3 linked regions of the Oreochromis niloticus genome follow. The protein of the gene in region 3 interacts with the protein of the main gene of each other region in a biochemical or structural test. Links are inferred from orthologs where the notes say so. Each region holds a gene or a part of one and is shown on either strand. Other genes may lie near its edges. The genes, in order: msh5, mlh3 and msh4.

Evidence for each region.
Region 1: the proteins of msh4 (region 3) and msh5 form a complex in vitro, tested with the Homo sapiens proteins (2 studies listed by BioGRID). The link is inferred for Oreochromis niloticus from reciprocal best matches to the Homo sapiens genes MSH4 and MSH5.
Region 2: the proteins of msh4 (region 3) and mlh3 form a complex in vitro, tested with the Homo sapiens proteins (2 studies listed by BioGRID). The link is inferred for Oreochromis niloticus from reciprocal best matches to the Homo sapiens genes MSH4 and MLH3.

The regions. Positions count from the first base shown.
Region 1 is NC_031976.2:20,190,376-20,198,094, reverse strand, and holds the start of msh5 (mutS protein homolog 5), read left to right. Parts: upstream 1-4,691; 5' UTR 4,692-4,804; intron 4,805-4,914; exon of another isoform or gene 4,915-5,451; 5' UTR 5,452-5,463; coding exon 5,464-5,559; intron 5,560-5,668; coding exon 5,669-5,792; intron 5,793-5,944; coding exon 5,945-6,025; intron 6,026-7,119; coding exon 7,120-7,173; intron 7,174-7,272; coding exon 7,273-7,394; intron 7,395-7,497; coding exon 7,498-7,607; intron 7,608-7,719. Other genes in the region: SPRY domain-containing SOCS box protein 1, read left to right, coding at 2,043-2,793, 2,890-3,020.
Region 2 is NC_031983.2:10,517,811-10,525,372, forward strand, and holds the start of mlh3 (DNA mismatch repair protein Mlh3), read right to left. Parts: upstream 3,062-7,562; 5' UTR 2,573-3,061; coding exon 70-2,572; intron 1-69. Other genes in the region: acyp1 (acylphosphatase-1), read right to left, coding at 4,113-4,328, 4,544-4,624; zinc finger C2HC domain-containing protein 1C, read left to right, coding at 6,530-7,562. UniProt on the Homo sapiens protein: Probably involved in the repair of mismatches in DNA.
Region 3 is NC_031983.2:11,113,961-11,121,951, forward strand, and holds the start of msh4 (mutS protein homolog 4), read right to left. Parts: upstream 3,084-7,991; 5' UTR 2,884-3,083; coding exon 2,691-2,883; intron 2,473-2,690; coding exon 2,338-2,472; intron 2,239-2,337; coding exon 2,075-2,238; intron 1,984-2,074; coding exon 1,873-1,983; intron 1,734-1,872; coding exon 1,618-1,733; intron 1,537-1,617; coding exon 1,363-1,536; intron 1,273-1,362; coding exon 1,100-1,272; intron 1,000-1,099; coding exon 932-999; intron 837-931; coding exon 762-836; intron 619-761; coding exon 554-618; intron 456-553; coding exon 286-455; intron 189-285; coding exon 52-188; intron 1-51. Other genes in the region: vcpkmt (protein N-lysine methyltransferase METTL21D), read left to right, coding at 3,778-4,034, 4,190-4,303, 4,412-4,484, 4,598-4,717, 4,800-4,904. UniProt on the Homo sapiens protein: Involved in meiotic recombination. Required for reciprocal recombination and proper segregation of homologous chromosomes at meiosis.

The sequences.
Region 1 (7,719 bases), on a different chromosome or scaffold from region 3:
CTGCAGTGATGGACTGTGCTGTTCCCGTTCCGGAGGTCGAGCCGAGAAGCATCACCAAAACACCGGAGCGGTTACGTTACCGAGCGGCGATAAGACGCAGGAGCCTCTTATAAGCTCAGATAGGGAACCAGGCGGAGGGTTCGTGAAGGCAGTCTGCTCATGAGCACCAGAGAAGGAGCCACACCAGCGGGTAAGGCTGATAGAAGTCCCTATCTACACAGTTTGCTTACGGTAGCTCGATGGAGACTTTGTCTTTTTTTTCTTTTTCTTTTAAAAAAATAAATAAATAAATACTGTATTCTTCTAGTTCACTTTGTTCTGCTCCACCTGAACAGGTGGTGTTAAATAAATACACGGGAGTAGGTTTGGCTTTATAGGGGGGGGGGGGGTATCATGAAGAGGTTTGAGGATCCTTCCCCCAAAAGTTTGTGCATCTAAACCCAATCTCCTCAATTCTGGTGAATTTTATTATAGAGCATTTGTATTATGTTTGGAATTTCAGCAATTTTTATGCAAAAAAAACCCTTTTTTAAAAAAAAAAATCACGTTTAATTGGCCACCTTTGTCTGTTACTCAACATTGTATTTGTTTCATTATTACTAAAAATATGCTTTAAGCTATTTAAATGTGTTTAAATACTATATTTACATATAAAAACTGTAACTGTCATAAATAATTATCAAATAATTTCCAACAAGAAATCCAAGCGTATAATGTTGAAATACAGCTTCCTAGTATCCCCTGCTACACCAATGTTCCAATTCCCTATACAAAGTTACCAGGAAAGTAGATTAAAACAGAGAAATTCATGATAGAAACACTAAATTTATCACAACAGCGATGTTATTGGTGTGCGTTGTGCAGGGTTATCTCTACGCTTCGAAGATAAATTCAATTCTTTTTTATTTATCACAGCTCAGATGTGATTTGGCAGGTTTTCTAACACATATATGCATCGCTGTTGTAGGATAAACTTAAGCAATCTTCTCAGCTGTGTAACTGAAACTCAGGATTAGTTAGCAAAAATATTTCTAAAAACCAAACAACACTATCCAGGGGGTCAGAACTTTGTTATTTTCTGGATTATATGTTCTCATATCAAACCACCTCCTCCTTTTATCCTGCTGCAAACTGAGAACACTGTGTGTCTGAAATAATTACGTTTACCACATATTTCATGGTTTTTAAGTTAAATAGACCCACCCTTGATGGAGGCATTTCTCACTGAGTAATGTTATGAGTTCTAAATATACGACACCTTTGCACTTAGACCTATACTCAAGGACCGTACGGTACTTAAGGACACATTTGAACTATTTGTATATTTTCATGCCAAACTGCTTTGGACTTGTACTCCTCTGTCCATCCAGCTTTATTTTCGCAGTTGACATTTTCAACAACAGAAAAATGTTCGCCTTTCTTGTGTCATCCTGTACTTGTCAAGTCTTTGATTCTGTTAGTGATTCAATTTTTTATCATATTTTATTGTGAGTTATTCATCTGCTTTATCTTACTCCTGTCTCATTGTCTTTCATTGTCAGTCCTTGTCTTTGGGTTTGATTTCAGTCCTTGTGGTAATATCTGTTAACCGTACCAGTGTGTTACCTGCCTGTTTTAGATGTCATTTTTGTTCGCTTGTGATGTTTATGTGGATTGACTTTTTGCTTTGCCTTGCCTTTTGGACTTTGTTTCATGGACTAAGGCTCATTATTTGTTTAATCCTGCCTGACTTCTGAGTCTGAATGAGGGTTTTTAACCTCCACACTGTGAATGCTCCCGACCAGCAAACTGCAAAACTTTTGCTTTTATAGAAGTGCTCATGCTTGGTGATGATCAATTAATTAAGTACATTTGATGAGCAGGACCTGGCTGCTACTTACACTCTTAATTTCTATGGAAGCATTAAGCATCCAATTAGTTTTTCAAACTTTCTTTCTCTAATGACTGCATATCTAAGGTTTAATATTAAGTCGCACTTTGTTTTTTTTGTTGTTCTCCATAGTTCACCTCAACACATAGGAGTGACCCTGCCATTTGCACTGATGGGTCTGAGTCTGTCACGTTGGTTTTACAGCAGGACAGCCAACAGGCCTCCCTTTTCGTCATCAGCGTTCCTCCCACTGGCTGTCCCAACCTCCTCTCGCCTTGCGGTTACGCTGAACTCCCCTCCAGTTTCCCCAGGAGACAGTCATTCACATTGGAGCACAGTCCACCGCTCTCTTCACTTCCAGCTGTCCCCCTGCAAACAGGAAGCGACCCGCTCACCCGCTGAGCTTAGCAGCGATGGCGTGAGGGCGGAGATAGGAGTGAAGAGTGGGCTTCATGTCTGGGAGGTGGTGTGGAGGCCTGAACACAGAGGGACTCATGCCGTTGTGGGCATTTCGAGGCAGGACTGTCCCCTGCAGTCTTCAGGGTACAATGTGCTGGTGGGGGCAGACTCACAGTCCTGGGGATGGGAGCTCAAAACCAATCAGCTCTGGCATGGTGGACAAACTCTGAAGCTTTACCCAGAAAATGGGAGTAGGAGGAGGAGTCACTCTGAGGTGGCAGGTGATTCAAAGTCACAGTCCTCGTCTTCATCAAACGCAAAGATGGCACAAACACCTCTCCTCATTCCTGAGCGTGTCCTGCTGGTTCTGGATGCCGATGCCGGGACTCTGGGGTTTGTTGTCAATGGCAGCTTCCTTGGCGTAGCTTTTAAGGACCTCCCTCGAGATGTGGAGCTGTTCCCAGCAGTGAGCAGTGTGAGAGGAGGAGCCTGCATTCGACTGCGCTACCTGAATGGTTCTACACGTGAGTGCCTCATTTATTTATTTGTCTTTGTACGAAGAAATATAAAGATAAAACACAGCCTTATACTAAACTATGTTGTTTCTGGCTTGTTCTCAGGAGATCCTCCAACCCTCATGGCTTTATGCGTACTGTCGATTCGTCAGAATTTAGGACAGAAGAGGTTAAAACATACGGACAATTTGCCTCTACCCCCTTTTCTCCAGCGCTGTCTGGCTCCCAGTCATTAATCTTCCATGCAAACGGACAAGATGGATACTTTTGTCAGTTACTGCAGTTTACCTAGGATCCATGCCCTTTTCTATGAAATACTGATGTAAATTCTGTAAATCTTACATTATATGCACAAGTATAATTATTTTTATCTTATTTACTACAAATGTGTATGTTTATAGATGTTTTGTAATATTTTTTAAAAGAAATTTGGGGGATTTAGGGGCAGTTCTGTTTGGTACAGGTCTGGTTTCTTCTTTTGTGCATCTAATAAATGAGCTGTTACAAGTGATTTTTATACTTTTCCTGTCCTTTCACAAACCACAAGGATGGCTTAGCAGAGGTATAGAGGGTTTTGACAATACAGCTTACATCCAATAAGGATTATAAAATTATTTGTATGAAAATACTGATGTAATGTTTTCAACCAGCATAAGAAGCCAAGTACAGTGGCAGGATAGATATATATTTACATTTGTCTCATATACAGGTGTACTCATATTATTCCTGCATACTGGTACATGCCCATGCTTCCAAACATTTGTTTGTAGTTGTACTTTAGGTTATATTGTTACATTAGCAATAGTACATCCTCTTTAATTCTAAGGCTTTATCAATCAGGACATACCAGGTTCTAATATATTTTAAATACAACTTTAAAAACAACAGCACATAATATTTTATATCACGTCATTACGTAACAAAAACTAGACCACAATGTAGAAGCAGTGTGTGAAAAACTAAGCACAGCCCACGATTCCATTGCTTATAAAACCACCTTTAGCAGCAATAACTTGAAGTAGCGGTTTTCTATATTACTTCATCAGTCTCTCGCATCATTCTGGATGAATTTGGGAACTTACAGCATTGCATCACAGCTCAAGCTCCCCTAAGGTCCCAGCACAGCATCTGAATCAGGTTTTTTGATCTGATCTTGGGGTTAATTTCCTGGGACATCAAGTCCTGTGACGATTGGCAACTATTTTCAGTGTTTTCCATTTGTGAATAATCTTCCTCACTGTAGAATAATGGAGTTTAGATTGTTTGGAAATTACCTTATAACCCGCCCCACAGTTACTTCTTTAAGATGATTGCTGATGTTTTTCCTCCTTGACATTGTGTTAACACACACTGTAATGATCCAGGCCAAGAAACTGCCAAAAAAATTAAGCGCTCTCACACTTACTGATGATCAGTTAATCAGTCACCTGGCTGCTTTGTAATTATTTTTTCACACACTTCTTTATTTTGGCTTCGTTTTTGTTAAATAAATAATCAAACAGTGTAATATGTTGTGTTGTTGCTCACCTGCTAAGAACCAGATGCTCACTCTGCAGGTGGCAGACAAACAACTAGAAGTTTGCTAATTCTGCTGATCGATGCTTGAATGCAGGACATTTTTAAATCCTTAGTATCATACAGACACCTCCTCTCCATCGACGTAATACACAAGAATGTCGTGTTTGGAGTCCTACCAGGAGTGTATGCAGTAATACCATCAGCTGTACACTCCAACCATCAACCACCACACACCTATGCTACAGAGAGACAGATAGCTAGACACACATCTAGCATAACAAGTAGATGAGCTTTGATTATAATTCGAGGGATAAAACAAAATAAATAAATGTGAACCGCCCTAAACTGTACTTTTAACAAAGGGCTAAATGAAAAAAACCAAACAACGTTTCATAGGTTGAAAGAGCTTTCTGAACTGATTAATTGTACAGAACTAATAGCGAGAGAGAGAGAGAAATGTGGTTGTTATGGCAACCGGGAAGGCGCCTTTGAGCACTTGAAGGTGAGTTTGTGGAAAACAAGCACTGTTAAAGCTTGTTAAAGTTATTTTATCAGCCTCATTTCTGTTATAAGCTGGACTCTGCAAGTTATATAAAATATTTATTGACGTGGCATTTATTGAAGTGGCAGTACTCTAAAACAGAAATTTAATTATATAGCCGGTTTCTAAATAAGAATATAAGTAAGTTATAGTTAACTTAAACGAGCTAGCTTACATCGTTAGCCCAATAAGCTAACTGGAGCTACAATAATTTCAATTATTATCATAATAATGTCTGTAATATCAATTCCATATTTTGTTTTTATCTTTAAAGGACCCCATAGCGAGTTTCCAAAAATAATTTTTGTCTGACTTGCAGTTTAGCTGTTTTAAGAAGCCATGGTGTTCTTTAAGCATCAGTAGTAGTAAGCTATTTTCAGTGAAAAAGCTCTAAAAACCCACATTATACTCCCTGCCCAGCACTAAAGTGCAAGGCAGACAGCCTTGGACAGCCTGTTAATGAGAGTGGCTCATTTAGCAGTTAAATGGCTCCATATTTCCCTAAGGAGGCAGAAAAGACAGAGGAGAAGAAGAAAAAACATAAAACATAATGAATATTGGATTTATCGGGTGACTCCAAATTACTTTAATCTGAGTTGTCCTTGTAGAATTAATTATTCATGGCAGCAGTTCTGGATAACCTCAGAGAAGGAGGTGTGGTTTTTGGACCTTCTGGCATTAGTTTTGATGAAGAAGATGAGGAGGACTCTCCTGCAGTAAGCGCTGATTTTCACATTCACCAGCAGCACTCATTTAATGTTATATGGGAGTTATATGAGAGTTTGAGGGCAGTCAAACTTACATGTTTGCATGTCTGTTTTCCAGGTTTTACTGAGTGTTTTGGTCCAGCATGGGCAGGTGGGTCTCTGCTTCTATGACAGTCAGGACTCATCTTTACACTACATGCCGGACACGCCTGACAACCAAGAGCTCCACCTACTGGTCAGAGGTAAGCAATGCACCTGTATGAGGCAGGTATTGTAGAATGGATACACTTATCTCCACACAATAGTAAATTGTAAAACCCTCAGGGAGACTTACAGTATGTGTTAAAACAACACTTGTGTTGCCATAAAATCTCTTTTTTTCTTTGTTTTGCAGTCATTCAGGAGGTTAGTCCCCATGTAATTATCACCAGTGCAAAGCAGGAGCGCTCCATGACTCGCTTTTTGCAACAGCTAGGTGAGCTTTGGGAGATGATACTTATCTTACCATGAAAGAGGGAAAACAGAAAGACCTTTTAGACAGTTTCCTTTAGACGTGGTGTAGTACATGTAGTCTGGGTCAGAGGAATGAGGTTGAAGTATGTCTGACACTGAAACCAGCCTGTGTGGTAAGTCAGTGGTGCAGTTTTTAAACATCCTGTTCCCGGGGTGGCTGTGGCTCTACTAATTGGAAGGTCGTGGTTTGATCCCTGGCTCCTTAAGTATGCATGTCGAAGTATCCTTGGGCAAGACACCGAACCCATTACAATGTGAGTGTTGTGAGGCTTGCACTAAGAAAATACTTTGAGTGCTCAAATAAAGTAAAAAAGTGCTATATAAGTGCCAGCCATAACCAAAGTACCCCAAATGGCAAGCCAAACTTTCAAAGCACACTTGTATTCATATCTGTGGTAAACAGCCTCCATGTCATCTTTTGAATATTCTGTAAGAGGAAGGTATTTTTAATAACATATTTTTACAGTCACAACCTAGTACAACAGCTATTTTACATTCTTCTGTGGTTTACGCCACAGAAGAATGGATCCCCATCCCCAACAAATGTTATCCTGCTCTCTGTTAGTCAGACTCTTTGAAGTCTGCTAATGTAGTCGCACTGATGAAATTGCTTCTCAAAAAGAGGTCATCATGGTGAACAGAACAAAACCCAAAAATGTTTTCAGCAACCCAGATTTTCATTACTTCTTATTCCCGATAAACAAAAAGTATTCATCTATTTTCTGCTTGCAAAAATATAAACAAAACCAAGTGATTGGATTGATTCAGATCTAACAGCAAAAGCTGTCTAAAGTGAACCTTTTGATTAAATGACCTGAGTCAAATTAGTAGCCCCACTGCTCACCCTAGTGGTGAGTTTATCAAATAAATCTGCAATATGGCTTTTAGAATAGAAAATGTAAGTTTAATTCATTACCTTTACAGTTCTAATAATAAAGTCTGGTTGACATAAAATTCCCAGTCACAACATTTTTGAACTACTGATTAGTGTAATGTTTTATGTAGCCCTTACTGTGTTCACTAAAGTGACAACATTTTTTCTCTGTTGCTTCTCAGGTTCAAACCCACACTACAGACCAGAGGTGGTCACGTATCCATATGTTGACTTTGGTAAACACATTCTTGTAATACTCTCTTCCGCAATCATTTAGAAGAAATCTAGCATGAAATTGCACAGTTTTCCAGCTTCATTTTGTATCAATGTTGAAGGTCTGGAGGTCAGTAAGCAAAGGTTGCTCTCTGCCCATCTGCCTTTCCTCCCCGCCTGCATTTCCGAGAGAGACAAACTGTCCTACCTCTCCTCCTGTATCTCCTTTGACTCGTCCCTGATGGTGAGCCAGCTGTCTACATACAACATTATCCTATCCATCAGTCATGGTTCTGCAGGAGATGATCATTTTCGTGTGTGTGTGTGTGTGTACATCTGTGGGATAGCTGAGGGCAGTGGGTGCCCTGCTGAAATGTCTGGACAGGAGGAGAGTGGGAGTGGAGTTGGAAGACAGCAGTGTTGGAGTACCCATCCTGCAGTTTCACGCCTACACACTGTGAGACTTGCATAAATGTAGCACTCACACACACGCACACACAGAGAACTGTGATTACACATTATAATGAGAACCCTGAAACCATTTTTTCAGCGAAGTGCGAAATTTCATT
Region 2 (7,562 bases), about 600 kb from region 3:
CATGCATTAAAACAGAAAACAAATTATCTGTATTAATGTGCATATCTGCAATTTTGTGTGCTTACTTACCCATTTCAGAAATGACACTAACTGCTATATTGGTGACATCAGACGTGCAGCGCACTTGAGTTTCCTCCATAGCTGGGTCCTCATATCTGCTGAGCCCGGTCACTCTGTTCACATAAACCGTCTTTCCGACAGATGCGTCGTAGTGTTGGAGCCAGTCGCTCGATGTGGCATCCTCTTCATTCATAGCAAGTTCAGGGTTTAAAATGCATCCTAAGGCTGGCCTCATATTGAACTCAGGGTCACAGGGAATCTCATTGCTATCTTGGTTACTGTCAATTCCAGTACTGACACAGATAGTATCCTTTGAGACGTTTCTGGAAAAATCCAATGACACCTCTGAATCATCTGTCCCATGTTGTTTCAAATGACGGAGTTTAGCTGCCAAAGATTTTTTACCTTGGTTCTGTGCTGATTCTGGTTTTATCTTAGTGAAAACAGAGAGAGTTGGCGGGCTTTGGAGGCTGTTCTGTGCGTCATCTTTGTCCTGCATCTTATTTTCTTGTTGAGCTCCCTGGTAAATTGATGCATTCAAAAAAACGTGGTCTGTCTGAGGAGTGTCGGTCTTCAAATGAGCCTTGGGTAACTGTGATTCGAGATCACCAGATTTAACACATGTTCGTCGAAACTTGTCAAGAGATCCAGACAATTTATGGCATGAAATTATCTTGGAAATCTTTGAGGGGACAACAGAGGAAGAGTCTCTGCATTGTTTCTGAGAAGATCTGCTTGTGTCTAATGAGATTTTGCGTTTTGCAACAGAAGCTTTTTCTTCAGATTTTGCTGTTAAACTTTCCTCCTGAAATACTGGCCTATTGTTTTGCAAAAGGTCCTGAGTCTGCAGACTCTCTTGAACGTATTGATCGCACAATCTGATCTTTCTCTTACTTACTAAAGTCTGTGCATGGCAACTTGTGTCCTGACAGTCAGGTACTATTCTCTCAGTGTACTTTAAAGCAGGCTGGGCTTGTTGAATGAGGCTGTCATCTCCTTCTTTTAAAAGTAGCTCTCTTGAAATATGCAAAATATTAGAACCTTCCCCAGCTTCACTATATGCGGGTTCCACTTCTTTATTAATTTTATAAGGTAAAGGTTCCACTGTAGCCAGATCAGACATCAGCTCATTGCTACATTCATTGTTTAAACCTTTTTCACTGTGTACATTTTGGAACTCATTTGTACTTATCTTTTTCTGGCCTGGTTGTTCACTTTTATCCAATCTAGCCTCCAGGCAAACACCATCTTTAGAAACACTGTCACCTGTGTGATTACGATGAACAGATTCAGATGCCAGTCTCGTGCCAACACTACAGTCCATTGTAGAAATACTGATAGCTGTTTGGCCACCTTTGTCACCATTCTCTTCTGGTTCTGTTTTGTCAGTTCCAAACACTCTTGGAGATGCATAGTCCAAGTCATCTTGAGTAATGACAGCCACCAAGTTCTCCCTGCTCAGGAAAGCTTTCACTGCTTCTTCAACACAGAGCAAAATGCCATCCCAGTCTTTAAACTCTATTAGAGTTTTGGCAGGCTCGAGGGAAATATCATACTCCGAGTAAGAGCATTTAATATTGATGATATACACTCCATACAGATCTTGGCTTCGCTTGTGCTTTGGACTTCTGAAGACAGACTGCCAATCTGGACTGTCATTCTTCTGGTTGGAACTGGTCAGTCGGCGCAGGAGAACGTTCAGCAGCTTGTGAATATGTGTTTTCAACAGCAGTCTTTCATTCACATACAAGAACTGTAAGCTGTTGTTGTAGTGCCCCTCTCTGCCAATGTAACCCATCACTTCAAACTGTTTGTATGTGTGGTTCATTTCTCCCAGCTTCTCTGCTTGCCCGAGATTGTGTATCTGAACAAACCTGTGATAAGTGTTTCTTGCTTTCGGGAGCTGCACCATCATGGCTCCTGTGCAGTCATTCTTCAGGGTGAAGGAAACAGAGGGGTGCATCAGGGAAATAGCTCCCACTCTGTGCCTGATCCTCTCACCCTCCAGGACGGCATCAACCCTCTTCCTTCGGACAGGCATGTTGTGGAAGAAGTTACAAATGATGACAGTTGTCCCCGCAGAGGGTCGAGCAGCCTCTGCTTCAAAGACCTCCAAGCCCTTCCCCTCCTTGAATATTTTAACGTGTGTTTTTACAGATGATCTGGTCCGGGAGGAGATTTCAACAAGTGTGGCTAAAGAAACTAAACTCGCCAAGGCTTCCCCTCTGAAACCATACCACCTGAGGTTGTCCAGGTCTGCCACAGAAGTGCATTTACTTGTGTGGTATCTATTCCCAACACAGTCCATGTCCTCGGCGCTCATCCCAGCACCGTTATCGATCACCTGAATTTTAAATGCCTCCATGTCCATTCGGACTCCCACACAGGTCGCCCCGGCATCGATGCTGTTTAAAATCAGCTCCTCCACACACTGCTGAAGCGAGGGGATAGCGACACCGGAGCGAAGCTTCCCCTGAACCTCTTTGGGTAAACACTTAATCATAATGGGCATTAAATTCAGTTCTCTTTGTATCTTTGGTCTATCACCTGTACCGGCGACCGCAAAGTAATTAGTTAGTTAATCGTTGCTAAGTAGTTAATGCTAGCTAATTCCAAAGGAGACTTTTTGACAGCGATACATTTTGAAGTAAAACCCTCTTTCATATTTCATTAAATATGATAAAAATATTTAGCATAATAAAACCATGCCCTCAAATACCTCAGCTGTTGTGTACAGTCAACGTGAAACAAAAACACAGGCCTGTAACCGCTTAAAACTGGCTAACATTATAATACTGCCATCTTCTGGTGTGGTTGAATTTACTGCTGCGTTCGCGTCGACTCGGAAACTTCCATCGGTACGTAATCAGTTTCCTTTTTTCCATCGTTTCATCAATTCGTTAAAATGACTTCAGCTATATACGATGCTAATATTAATGTCTACAGTTTGTCATAGTCACCCCTTTCGATTGTTTACACTTGCGTCTTTGTATCTGGGAATTCGGAGCTTTACTGGAAAGTTTCGATCTCCGCGTTGACTTGAATGTGCCATGTTCACCAGACATCTTCTTTCGTAAGTTAGCCTATGGAAGACCTGCTTTTACTGCATACCGCCACCTCCTGTACGGAGTGTGCTGTTCAATGTGCTTATACACCCAGTCAGTTTTCCTTTCTGCAGTTAAGAAGTCAACAAAACAATTTCAGTCACATCTCCCTCAGTTAGCTTGCCCACTGTATGCCTCGATATGGATAAAACTCATAAGCAAGAGTGGTCAGGCCTGCAACATCATCCTAACATGTCTCAATACATCAAGTTACAGTGGAAAAACATGTTTTATTAATAACTTTAAATAGCCAGTATGTGTACAGGTGTGCCAGTAAGTCTGCACAAACACATCAGATACACCTGTGTTTTTTATACCAACATGAAGTCAAAATATTTGCTGACCTACCACTTTATTGGTATGTGTGGCGTTTAACTGTTATCTTAAACCAGAAGACCGAACAATATCAGGGTGTTTGTCCTTGGAATAACTGAGCTTGTATCAGTATCTTGATAATTTAGCAAAATAGTTATGTCACCTTATGCGTAAATAGTCTTTAAAAGCTTTTGATGAACCCTGAAAAGGTGTTATTACAGCTTTCTTTTGAAAATAGGCAAGCACACACATGTGCCTGTTTGCATGACCATGAGAACAAATATAATTTTGTTAAAGATTTCTAAAAAAATAAATAAAAATTTTGAACAATGTAGCCACCTCCACTAACCACTTTAAATGCAGAGCATAGGTCCTTCACAACCAGGCATGTTAAAGCTGACTGAGTTAAATATTCCTTTACTGCTGTTATTGCAATAAAATCAGACAATGTGAGTCCTGATGAAGGAAGTTCCCATTTATTATTGTTGTTACATATTCTGTGAACATTTAGGAGATCAAACATATGCAGTACACCTCTTCCTCCCATTCAGTTTAAATGTTAAATTCCAACCAGTAAAAACAAAAAAGACTAAATAAATAAAACATCTGCATAAGTTAATATTAAAGGCACAGTTATTTTACTACGTTGAAAGATGAATGTTCTAGGCTGTCAACTTCTTTCTCATTCTTGAACTCTGCCTTGGTTATGTGTGACTTGGGGCTCCCAGTGGATCTCAGCCATTCTTGCATTTCCTTCACCTTTTTGCGTGGGCCTTGTAGCTGCCCTTGCACTGTTCCTGCTGGTGTGTTTTGGACCCAGCCAACAAGGCCAAGTTTCTTCCCTTCTGCCTGAAAGAAAAAAAAAAAAAACCCAAAAGGGATTATTATTATCGTTATCATTATTATTATGGAGGTCGTGGAGGGCAAAAGAGATGTCATAATAGTAAGAACATGGCACTATTGGATAAATATCGACTAGAAATATTTAAAATGGTAGTTGTAATATTCAGCATCAATGAGACCACCCCTAAAAAAACGCAATCATGGGACAATGTCAAACCTACCTGCGTGTATTTCCGAAAAAATACACCTTGCACTCTGCCAAAAATCTCATAATCCACTGAAATTAGGTCTTCATCGGACATAATGGATCTTAAAAAAAAAGAAGAAATTTAGGCAGTCCTTTAATGCTTAAAGGTGATTTGTGATCACAGGTGACTGAAGCTATGCCAACATAAATAATACATAGCACACCTAGCTTCGTATTACTGCTACTTTACTGCGCAAAAACCCGCTGCCATTTAATTTACCTGAATTTTATCCAGAAGCCGTGAAACGCCGACCCAGTTCCGAATTACAGCAAATTCAAAACATACGACACGCCACTTCTTCTTCGTCTCCTTCTTTGAGTTCCTAATTGCATTATCGCCACCTACTGGGCTGGAACAGAGGATTACAGGAAGTGGTGTTTGTTTACCGGACCAATCAGAAAACAACCGAGAAGCGTTGTATCTAGGCAACAAATGTAAACACTGGAAGGACAGGATTTTTAGGAAAATATACATTGGTATGCTGGTAAGTAGATAGCAGATTATATTTATGAGAATTTTCTGAAACTGGATTCAATTATTTATCTAACAAATGTTATTGGAGACAAAGACATAAACATATCGGTATTTTTTTTTTAATTATTAGCCGCCCGCACATTTATGGTCTCTGTTATTAAAAAGTTAACAAAAACTATTTTAAGCCATTATAAAAAACGTTAATAAAAATAAATAAATGAACATGCTTGCTTCTTTGTGAAGCATTTGACCATCTCACCATACGCCAAATTAAGCCTAAATATCTGTTGATAAATTGAACTGTAGCACAGATATTTTTAAAGCAGTACGTTACCTTTGTGCTTGAGGTTTTTTTTTTTCTGCATTTATAGCTTGTTTCACACGCATGGATTAAACCTAGTCCTAGACTAAAAGAAAAATTTAATAGAGGTGATGGCCGAAACATTTCTTTAGAGCTGCTGAAGTTTTGGGAGAGGCAGGCCGTCATCCCATTTTTCACTTGTTTAAGATTCAAGGTGCTTAGCTGTCCTGGTCTCATTTGTCATATTTTTCATTTCATGATGTGCTAAATATTTTCATTTGGTGAAAGGTCCAAGCTGCAGGCAGACCAGTTTGGCAGCTCGTGGATGCAGTGCTTCTGTAATAGATGCAGTATATGGTTGAGCATCATCTTTTGAAAATATGCAAGGCCTTCTCTCCAAAAGAATCATCTGGAGAAGCATACATTGCTATAAAGCTTGTATGTACCTTTCAGCGTTGAGCATGGAGCATTTTCAAATGTGCAAGCTGCCAATTGCATAGGCATAAATGCACCCCCATACCATCAGAGCTGAAGGCCTTTAAGATTTGGAACTGATAACAAGCGTAATGGTCACTCTATTTTTTTCTCCAGATTTTCTCCAGATTCTCTGCATCTTTTGATGATATTATGTACTGTATATGATGTGATATTCAGCGTTTTCAATTGCAGACACAAATTCTTTGCAGATTGGTGAACATCTGCCCACCACTACTTCTGAGAAAGTCTGTCTCTCTAAAATCTTTTTATACCCAGTGGTGTTACTGAGCTTTTGCAGATAAATCTAATGAACTAAAAAATGTTTTTCAATAATTTCTTTTTGGTACCACTTACTTTTTCGACTTTTTGTTATTTTTTTACTGTTTCATATTTTTTTATGAAACAGTAAAACTGCTGTTTGATAAAATTATCTCAGTTCAAACATGTCATATGCTTTCTATGATCTGTTGTGAATAAAATGTGGGTTAATGAGATTTGCAGATATTTACTACATCCTGTTTTTAAATTAGCTTTTATACATCAACTTTTTTAGAACTGGGGTTATGATATTGTGCAAGCTTTACCCTTTCCCTTTTCTGCTTGCTTTTTGCACAGAAATTATACAATAAAAGGACCCCATATGGTGGATTCAGGTATCTTTGAATCTGTGGAACAACAGCTTATGATCTGTAACAACAGATGAAGTCATGAACACACATAGAAGAAGAGACACTCCTCAGGGGCACCACAACTTTGCAGGGGAAAGACGTAGCGTGCCTAATAGGAAAGCAGATGCAGTAAATCATCCATTCCCAAACAAGCCTGTGAGCCATAGAAGACCTAGCAGGCCACAAGTTTCACTAGATTTGGATGATTTTGAAAACATCACAGTTTCTACTCAACCAGTAGCCCCTTTGTTACCCCAGGAGCATCATTCACATGGCATCACAGAGACCACCGTAGCCTCACTGTCAGACAGACTGCCCAGTGAAGAGCTGCAGTTGACCAAAGCAATCCATGCAAAACAGCTCATGCTGCAGGAGAAGCTCTTGAAAGTTGAATTAAAAATAAGACAAAAGCTCCAGAGGGCCAGCGCTGACTATGCTGGAGGTAATGAGAAAACAAGTAGGGAGGAGGGACACAGCAGAGGACGAGCTCAGGTGCAAAAAACTCAAACAAATACCAGAATGTCTGAGCTCCAGTTTAGAGAGCTAGCTCAAGGCAGAGATAAAGTGATGGAGGATAGAAGGTATGATGATTTTAAGCAAGTTAGGCACAAACAAGATCAGAGGACTGAGGACAGAATGAGGACTACGAAGGAAGAACACCAGGACGATTCAGAAACTATTCAGCCTAACAGAAAAGGAAATAAAGGCACTTATAAGGTCATATCTAGCAAACAAGAAGTGAATGGAGAACTGAACAAATCAAGATGGCATAATGTGAAAGAGCATACCAGAGGAAAACGAGGAGGTGGGACAGATTATGGTACTGGTGGAGAAATAGAAAAAATAAAGTACAGTGATGTGCCTCAGGAGAGTCTGCAGAAAACTCCTTATACAGGAAACCACAGAGGGGCAGGAGGAAATCAGCTCTGGGATTCAACTCTTCCATCTAGACCTTCACAATGGAGTGGACCACACCGGGGAGAGCTCGTGCTCAAGGAGAGCACAGAAGTCAGCCTCCAGCTTTTTCCTTGCAAAATCTGCAACAGAAAGTTTGTGAGTGAAAGATTAGAGA
Region 3 (7,991 bases):
TGCTGAGTTATATTTTTTGCTAAAAGTCTGGCTGCCTTCAGTGGACCTTACTTTGATGAACTCTGAGGGGAGGTTCCCTTCTGGTAAGGTTAGTCCTTCAAGCTTCAGCTGGATGAAAAAACCTCGAGCTGTGCTGAAGCTAGTACGCATTGGCAAGCCGTATTTTTCCCCCAGCTGGTTCACAAGCTCTGTGCAGCACGATGACATGAAGCATGGCTAAAGGTAAGAACAGATTACCTAAACATCGTAAGACAAAGTTATCTGGAAAACACTAGGCATTAACACCTGCAATGTCGTCCACTATCTCAGTGTAAGCTTTCCGGGCAATGTCGAGAAACTTGTTGATGTTCGGGCGCACAGCGTAACACTTCTGGGTGCGCATTTTAAAGCTATCTTTGAGGTAAGTTGTGTCATAATTGATCACAGTCTTGATCTGCTCCAGGATCATGTCAAACCTGAGGCAGACATAAATGTATACAGTGGAATGAGTCTGTAGACAGGAGATTGTAACTAGCAAATTCAGTTCATCGTACATAAGCACAAAATTTACAACCTGTTATCTTCAAGTGTTGTACTATATGCCTTGAGCAGAGCTGTGTTCCGGTTCTTCAGCAGCATCTGTTTAAATGGTATAACACTTTTAAAAAGACTCAGTATTTGCATTATAACTAAGTCACATTTAGCTTTTAATGAATTAATTGTTTTCTTATTCTGTCCATGGCTACTGGGCGATTTTGTTTGAGGATGTTAGCAGCACAGACCCTTAACCTCGGCACCAGGTCCAGTGTGTATTTCAGCTGAATGATATGTGTAATCTTTGCTTCAGCAACTTGAAACTGTAGAAAAAAAAGTAACAGTAGTGACAAAGTGACAAATGCACAGAAGTAAACAAACAGAATATTGTCACAAGCACTGAAAGTACTGCACATACTGTTTCCTTCTTTGGGATTTGGACGAGAACTGAGAGCAGCTGGTCAATGTCAAGGAAGTGACTTATGGCTAAAAGGGCCAGAAGAACAAACAGTCAATGCAGATATGATCCAATTTTCAGTATGCAGAATATTTATAATGATTCAAACTTTTTGTGCCTGTTTCCAACCATTCTTTAAGCCAAAGAAAAGCTCCTCATCTTCCAGCAGCTCTTGTATGGTGTCCAGGCGAGTGTTGATTGTTTCCACATCAACTAGAGGCTCCAAAATGTTGGAGCGCAACCTTCTGGCACCACCAGGTGTTTTTGTGTGGTTGAGTACCCCGAAAAGAGTATGGTCACTCCTAGAACGAAAAAAGAGAAGGCACAGTCAGACTGCATGACAGAGGAACTACATAAAAAGATGTCATTCTTATCATCGCTTTCCATCTCACCTGTAGTTTCTATTATTAACCACCAATTCCAAGTTAGAGGCAGATGCTGAGTCAATCATGGCTGTCTGCTCACTCCCTTTAAAGCTCACTTTAAGGGACTTGGCAACGTAGACAGAGTTCTGGAGGAACTCTAAATACTTCAGCAAAGCAGCTGCAGCTGCTAGGCAATAATACCTAAAAAAAAAAAAAAGTTATCACATTAGGCAATGACAAAAGTATTAGGCTACAGTATCTCTCTATCTATCTATAGCATACTTAGCTTGAACTTCCATAACAACAGTGCTGAATTCTGGGGCACACAGCTGCTGAATGTACTCCAGCCCTTTCTTCTCATTAAAATACTTCCTTTGCACTGGAGTGAAAGGTACACCCTGAAGAAAAAATACCCAATAAAATTCAGTTTGCACCACACACTTAGCAACTCAGTGAATACTGAAGCACAAGTTGGCTACTCTCTACTTTAAGTGGAAATTTGTTTTAAAGAATTGTGTGTTATTGTTGCATTTGTACCGGAAAATTCTCAGTGATGAGATTGAACAGCTTTGTTCCTTTCCCCTTCTCACTGGCTGTGTCTGGCATCAGTATTTCCACTGGGACCAAGATGTGAATCTTGGTTATGACCTTCAGATGAATAACACATGACTGAAATATAAATTCCATGTCTCCCAGTCTGTTTTGAGTGCCAAATGACAGTAGGACATGGGTGGTTTACCTTGGCATATGTTCCTGTATCTGCAAACTGAGAGAGTACAAGCTCTGGGCATTTCAAATCGAGACTAGCCATGCCAATCTCTCCTCTGGCTAAGCCGCGTCCTTCAACTACTACCACAATCACAGAAGCACCAGTGTTTGTGGATCCAGATGAGTAACTTGTTCCTGCATAAAAAGATCTTTGTTAATAATAATACCTTATTTTTAAAAAGGCTTAATTAATACCAGAGTAATCAATAACTCGTGTCTGTGCAGGATGTATACCAGGTGCCCCAGCAGACCCTGGGGTCCTTCTATGTCTTGGTGTTCCTCCACGGCTGTGGAAAGATGAGCTCTCTGTACAAGATGAAAGAAGCAATGAAGCTGGCTTGTCTATTCTAAAGCTGCTCGGTAATTGACCTATAGCAATAGGAAACATAGGAAAAGAGGTGTAGTACAGTATTATTACTGCTGTGTCATGCCAAGAGCCACATTTTGCCGGGTGCCCCAACTGCTATCAATGAAAAAAAAATAAAAAAATAAAGATCATTTCATTACAGAAATGTCAATGTTAGCACGTTTTTTAGTATCTAATCTCACTCTCCCCAAAATAAAAGTTGCTAATGTTAGCACATCACCTGAGGCCGTTCCAGATGATGGGCCGTGGCGGGAGCTCGTACTGCCTTCATTTGAACTTTGCTTTGATGAAGCTGATGTGACACAAGAAAAGGTTTGGTCCTGTCCACTTTTGTCCTTAGGTAATATACCCCACGACTGTTCACTTGCTGAGGCATAACCGTCAGTTACCTCCTCTGTGCTGCTGGCAAACATTTGAAACTTATGCAGAGGTAGAACAACTGACAAACACAGACTCAGATGTACACCTGTAATATTCAGTTACTACACTTCGACAAACAATATGAAGTTGCCTCTCAGCTGCCAGTTCTCTCAGCTAGCAAGCATAATTACCGCCGCCACACTGATTGCAGTGGCGCGCGAACACCTGACGGCTTCCCTACGTCAGCCTCTACACAAGTTAATCGTAGTAATATTTATTTATCTATTTTTTATATTATTTTCTTTTTTCGGTCATTAATAAGAGTTATTGTGAATTTAAAAAAAATAATAACAACGAATAAATGTACAAAAAAAATCACTTCAACTCGGGAAGACACAAAACATTTTTTATTATTATTATTATTATGAGGCCAAAAGAAAATAATAATAATAATAATAAAAAAAAGAAATCCGTATAAGCCTTCGTTCTCTAAAAGAAACCATGGTTCTTGGTACGCTTCAAATAATTTTAAATAATTTTAGAATATGCTAGGGTGGAAGGACCCTCCAATCATCGTTCATGTTCATGTCTTTAATTAAATTTTTTTTTTTTTTATTTTATTATTTTTTACATTTTTTGCAACTTCTGTTTAAATTCTGTTTGATTTTTTGCTATTAAAATTTTATTTTTAATGTATTATTGTTATTAATAAAATTTAAAGATAAGTATTTCTTGTCTCATCTTATATTATTGTGAATCCATAGACTTTTCATTGTTTATGATTGTATTTTTAAAATAAAAAAAAATCTAAATATTAGAAACACATAACTTTTTTAAAGCATCAAGCACAACTCTGTGCACCAGTCCTAATGTTTGGCGAGGTAAGTCTTTTATTTAGAAAAATATATCAGACCGGAAGTTCTTTTTTTGTTTCTGTTTTGGCCAACATGGCGGCTAAGGCAGACGAGAATGAATATTTTGTCAGAGAAATAGAGAGAAACGACGGCTGTGCCCTAAAAGTTAAGCAGTGCTTCTTGGGAGATGTTGGCTGCGTTGTGTGGGATGCAGCTATTGTTCTCGCAAAGTATTTAGAGACAAAGCAGTTTTACGATCCGTCTTCAGGTGTGAACGTTTGGTCTGGTAGGACTGTGCTAGAGTTGGGAGCTGGTACGGGAGTAGTTGGTCTTATGGCAGCAACGCTAGGGTAAGTTATTTATTTACATGTGATCTTAGTGTTATGTTTAAATATCAAAATATTTAAACGTCATTCCTTGCACTACTACTATGTTTTAGTAATCATCTGGGAAGAGTCAGTATTGGTGATTTATTATTATTATTATTATTTTTAAATTCCTGCAGAGCACAGGTAATAGTAACAGACCTAGAAGATTTACAGACACTGTTGAAGGTGAACATCCAAGAAAACGAAGCGCTTATCAGCAGTGGATCCATAACTGCCAAGGTACTGAAATGGTTTGTACTTACATTTCCTATTTTTCTTATGCTCCTAATATAAATGTCGCAGTAATACTTCAGCAGGACATTCAGCATATGCTTAATATTTTATTTCCATTATTACAGGGGTGAAGATGTGTCTGAATTCTTGCCTTCCCCAGATTATGTCCTTATGGCAGATTGCATCTATTATGAGCAGGTACTTTCCTGTAGTTTTCAATCCTTTATGATCCCCTACAAGATTGCAACATTACAATCATTCTGAAAAAGTGTTGTATGTCTCATTGTGAGTCATCGCTTATTTCCATACAGTCAATTGTTCCACTGGTGGAGAGCTTGAAGCTGCTTTGTGGACCAGAGACCTGCATTGTTTGCTGCTATGAGCAGCGCACTGAGGGTGTCAACCCAGAAGTGGAAAGGCAGTTTTTTGAGGTTAGAATTTGTTTTTATTTCCACAACTAAGTGGAGATATTTGTCATAGCTATCATCTGACCTGTTCTCTTTTCTTTTTAAGTTGTTGCAACAGAACTTCTGCTGTGAGGAGATTCCTTCAGAGAAACAAGACCCAGAATTTAGCAGTCCAGACATCCACATTCTGCACATTCGAAGAAAAGCCTGATTATCGGACTCCGATTGTGACATAGAAACTTGGAACAGTGTACTGAGCTTGTTTAAGATATTAAATTTTTTAACTTTTTAAAGGGAAGCATGCTGTTAATTACTGTGTGTGTTATTTGACGGGAGCACACATGATTAAATCAACACACAGACACTATTTTTTTCCTGCTCAGTAGAATTCTCTTTCAGTCCATGTAGTTCTGTTTCTGTGAAGCTAGATGGCAGACGTGTGCAAGCACAGATCTGAGAAACAAGTGCATTGTTTGAGCAAGAGGCATCATCCCCCTAGGTTTTTGCAGTTCGTCTTGTTTATACAAAATACAGTTAAGCAGATGTGAAAGTGAAGCCTTTACGCCCTAGGCATCTGCCAAAAGTTGCAAACATGAAACCTATTGGACTTCTGCTCTTGAGCACAGACATATTTTCACATTGTATTTCCCATTCCCATCATTAAACTTGGAATATTTAGCAAGTGGTAACTAAATAATTAGATAATATGTACAATTACATGTTTACATAAAAATATTGACAACCTCATGCAGAAATAAGCACCTGATGACAGCGATAAGTGGTGTTTAGAGTGGTTTTCTTTGTGATTTTCTTTCTTCTTGTGAATTATGTAAATTCAGACACTTGTGAGAAGTAGTTGCTTAAAATCTGAAACTTAGGAAAGGATTTAATTGTGTGCACTGATTATTTAAAGAGCCAGGCTGCTCACTCAACAATTAAATATTAAGATGTGAAGACAGTTTTGTTAACTTTTCATATGAAGTGAGGTTAGGGTAACAAATCAAACGCATGACTAAAAATTTCAATCTATATCTTTATGTGGGGTCCCCAATCTTTAAAAATGGAGGACAACAGGGATCTGCAATGCCAGGTTTTGCCGTCCATGTGAGGGGAATTCCACTCAAAGCCCCAGATTAGGTGGAAGATTATGGCTCCTTTTCAAGCATAAAACCATGAAGTACGACCCATACTCCCACAGGCATGCAGGGGCCCCTCACAGCCTTTCATGCTGCTGTCTGTTTACACAGTAGAGCTGTAGCGTAATGAGCAGGTTGGCCTCAAACACTCAGGCCAAGTGAAATGTTAATACTGAAGTTGACAGGATGAGATCCCCCTAAATACTCAAATTGATATATGAGAGAAATATTACAATAGATCCAAGTTTGATTACACATTAATGAAATGGTCCAACATGATCACTGGATGAATGCAACGCTTACCTATTTTAATAAGCAGAAAAGCCCCCTGTATATAAATTTCCCTGAATTTAAGAGTTGGCGTTATTAGTAGAGCAGACAAGTGGCTAATAATACTACAGGTGCAGGTGCTTTGTGTATAGAGTCAACACAAAATCAAGCAATCTGAAAGCATGAAAAAAATTGAACAATGTATGTGTATTCATTTCTGTTCCAGCTAACAAACCAGTTAACCAGTCTCTTCTAACTGTACATGTGAATGTTTAAAATGAGCATTTGATCAAGAGAGGCAGAGGTGTGGTGGGATTGAATCAGATTATAGATGTTGGTCGATGAGAATGCCTATGAAGAGAGGAGCAAGTGAGATTAATTGCATTTTTATTTTTTATTTACAGTTACTATAAATAACTACAGCAGATCATGTAAAATAATCATTCCCCGTGGCCCTCCTGTGCCACTCTCACTTGCACATTGTGCAGCTGGACTGTTACAGTCAGAATTAACTTGCGGTTAAGGTCTGCTTTGGTTTGGCCGGGAGACGTACGGCTAATTAATTTGACTCACAGCTGGTAATAAGTCCATGTCCCCCAGTGTGGTGGGGACAGGACCCAGAAGGGTTACTGAGGAGATTAGAGGGGTAAAGGGGAGCGCCATTATTCTGTGTCAACACTTTCTCCCCCACCCCATCCATGGGTCTTCCACTTAAGTAACTCAGAATATATTTCCCCATCCCTGGTGTTTTCCTTAAATGTTAACCAAAAATAATTAAAACGGTGTAATTGTGCTGTTCCTGTGGATGACTAATTAGGCTCACACAACAGGGGAATAGGAAGGCCCACTGTAAATGAGGACAGCCCACAGTGAAGCAGCAGCAGTGTCTCGGTAATCTGTTATCATATATATCAGACACACATGCACATTACTATGGATTCTGGTAACCATCAAGACAGAATGGGGGCATTTTCTGCCAACAGATGGTGCTATAAGTAAGAATAACTCTTAATGGTGTGGAAAACCTGTATTTGGAACACAAGTCCATAGCATCCAATGCATACTGGGATTTTTATGTGTTTTTTTAAAAATAAGTTTAATTACTTGATCATTGTCTTGGGCTAGTGAACACCTGCAATGGATTCCATAATCAGCATTCTTGTAAAACAATTTAACATGAGGTAGCAGTGCAGCATCTCTGCTCTGCACCCCCCCCCCCCCCGCCCCCCCCAATACCAGCTGGGTGGAGGAGAGTCTGACTCCAGCAGTCCGTGTGGTGCGCTCAACTCTGCTGCATCACAGCCAAGTGACACAGAGGATCCTTTGTGTCACCATCATCACGCTGCCTGGAGCCAAGAGACACTGCTCCAGAAAGGAAGACTCATTTTCTCACTAACTATTAGGGAGTGGCTCAAGAATAGACATCAAACTGGGCTGATTAAAAATAGAAGAAGGCCTGCATGAAAGAGTGACTCCTCTGATTCCGCAAAGGTGTATCCACACACACAGACCCCCCCACCCTTCTCCATTTTATATAGCAATCTGAGCCCGACTGAACTTTACGGTGCACCAAGAGGGAGCAGGCCAGACCTCGCTTACCAAACAGCTTACCAAGCACTGTATTTGTTATCTTTCAGCTATCTCTTTATCCTCATCTGGAAAGATGGGACACAACAATGCTAATAATCTGCAGCACTCATTGTTCATTGGATCTGAGCGCAAGAGGTGGTACCGTGCCAGGGAAGCAAAGCCCAATGGGACAACTAGCTTATAGAAACACAATGCTGCCCCCCCCAAACACACCCCTGCAGGGGAACAGGGGGAGGGCGGGGGTGCTGTTAAGACAGCTGTGCTGCAGTTGAGAGGGGAGCACTGTGAGAATACTGCACACA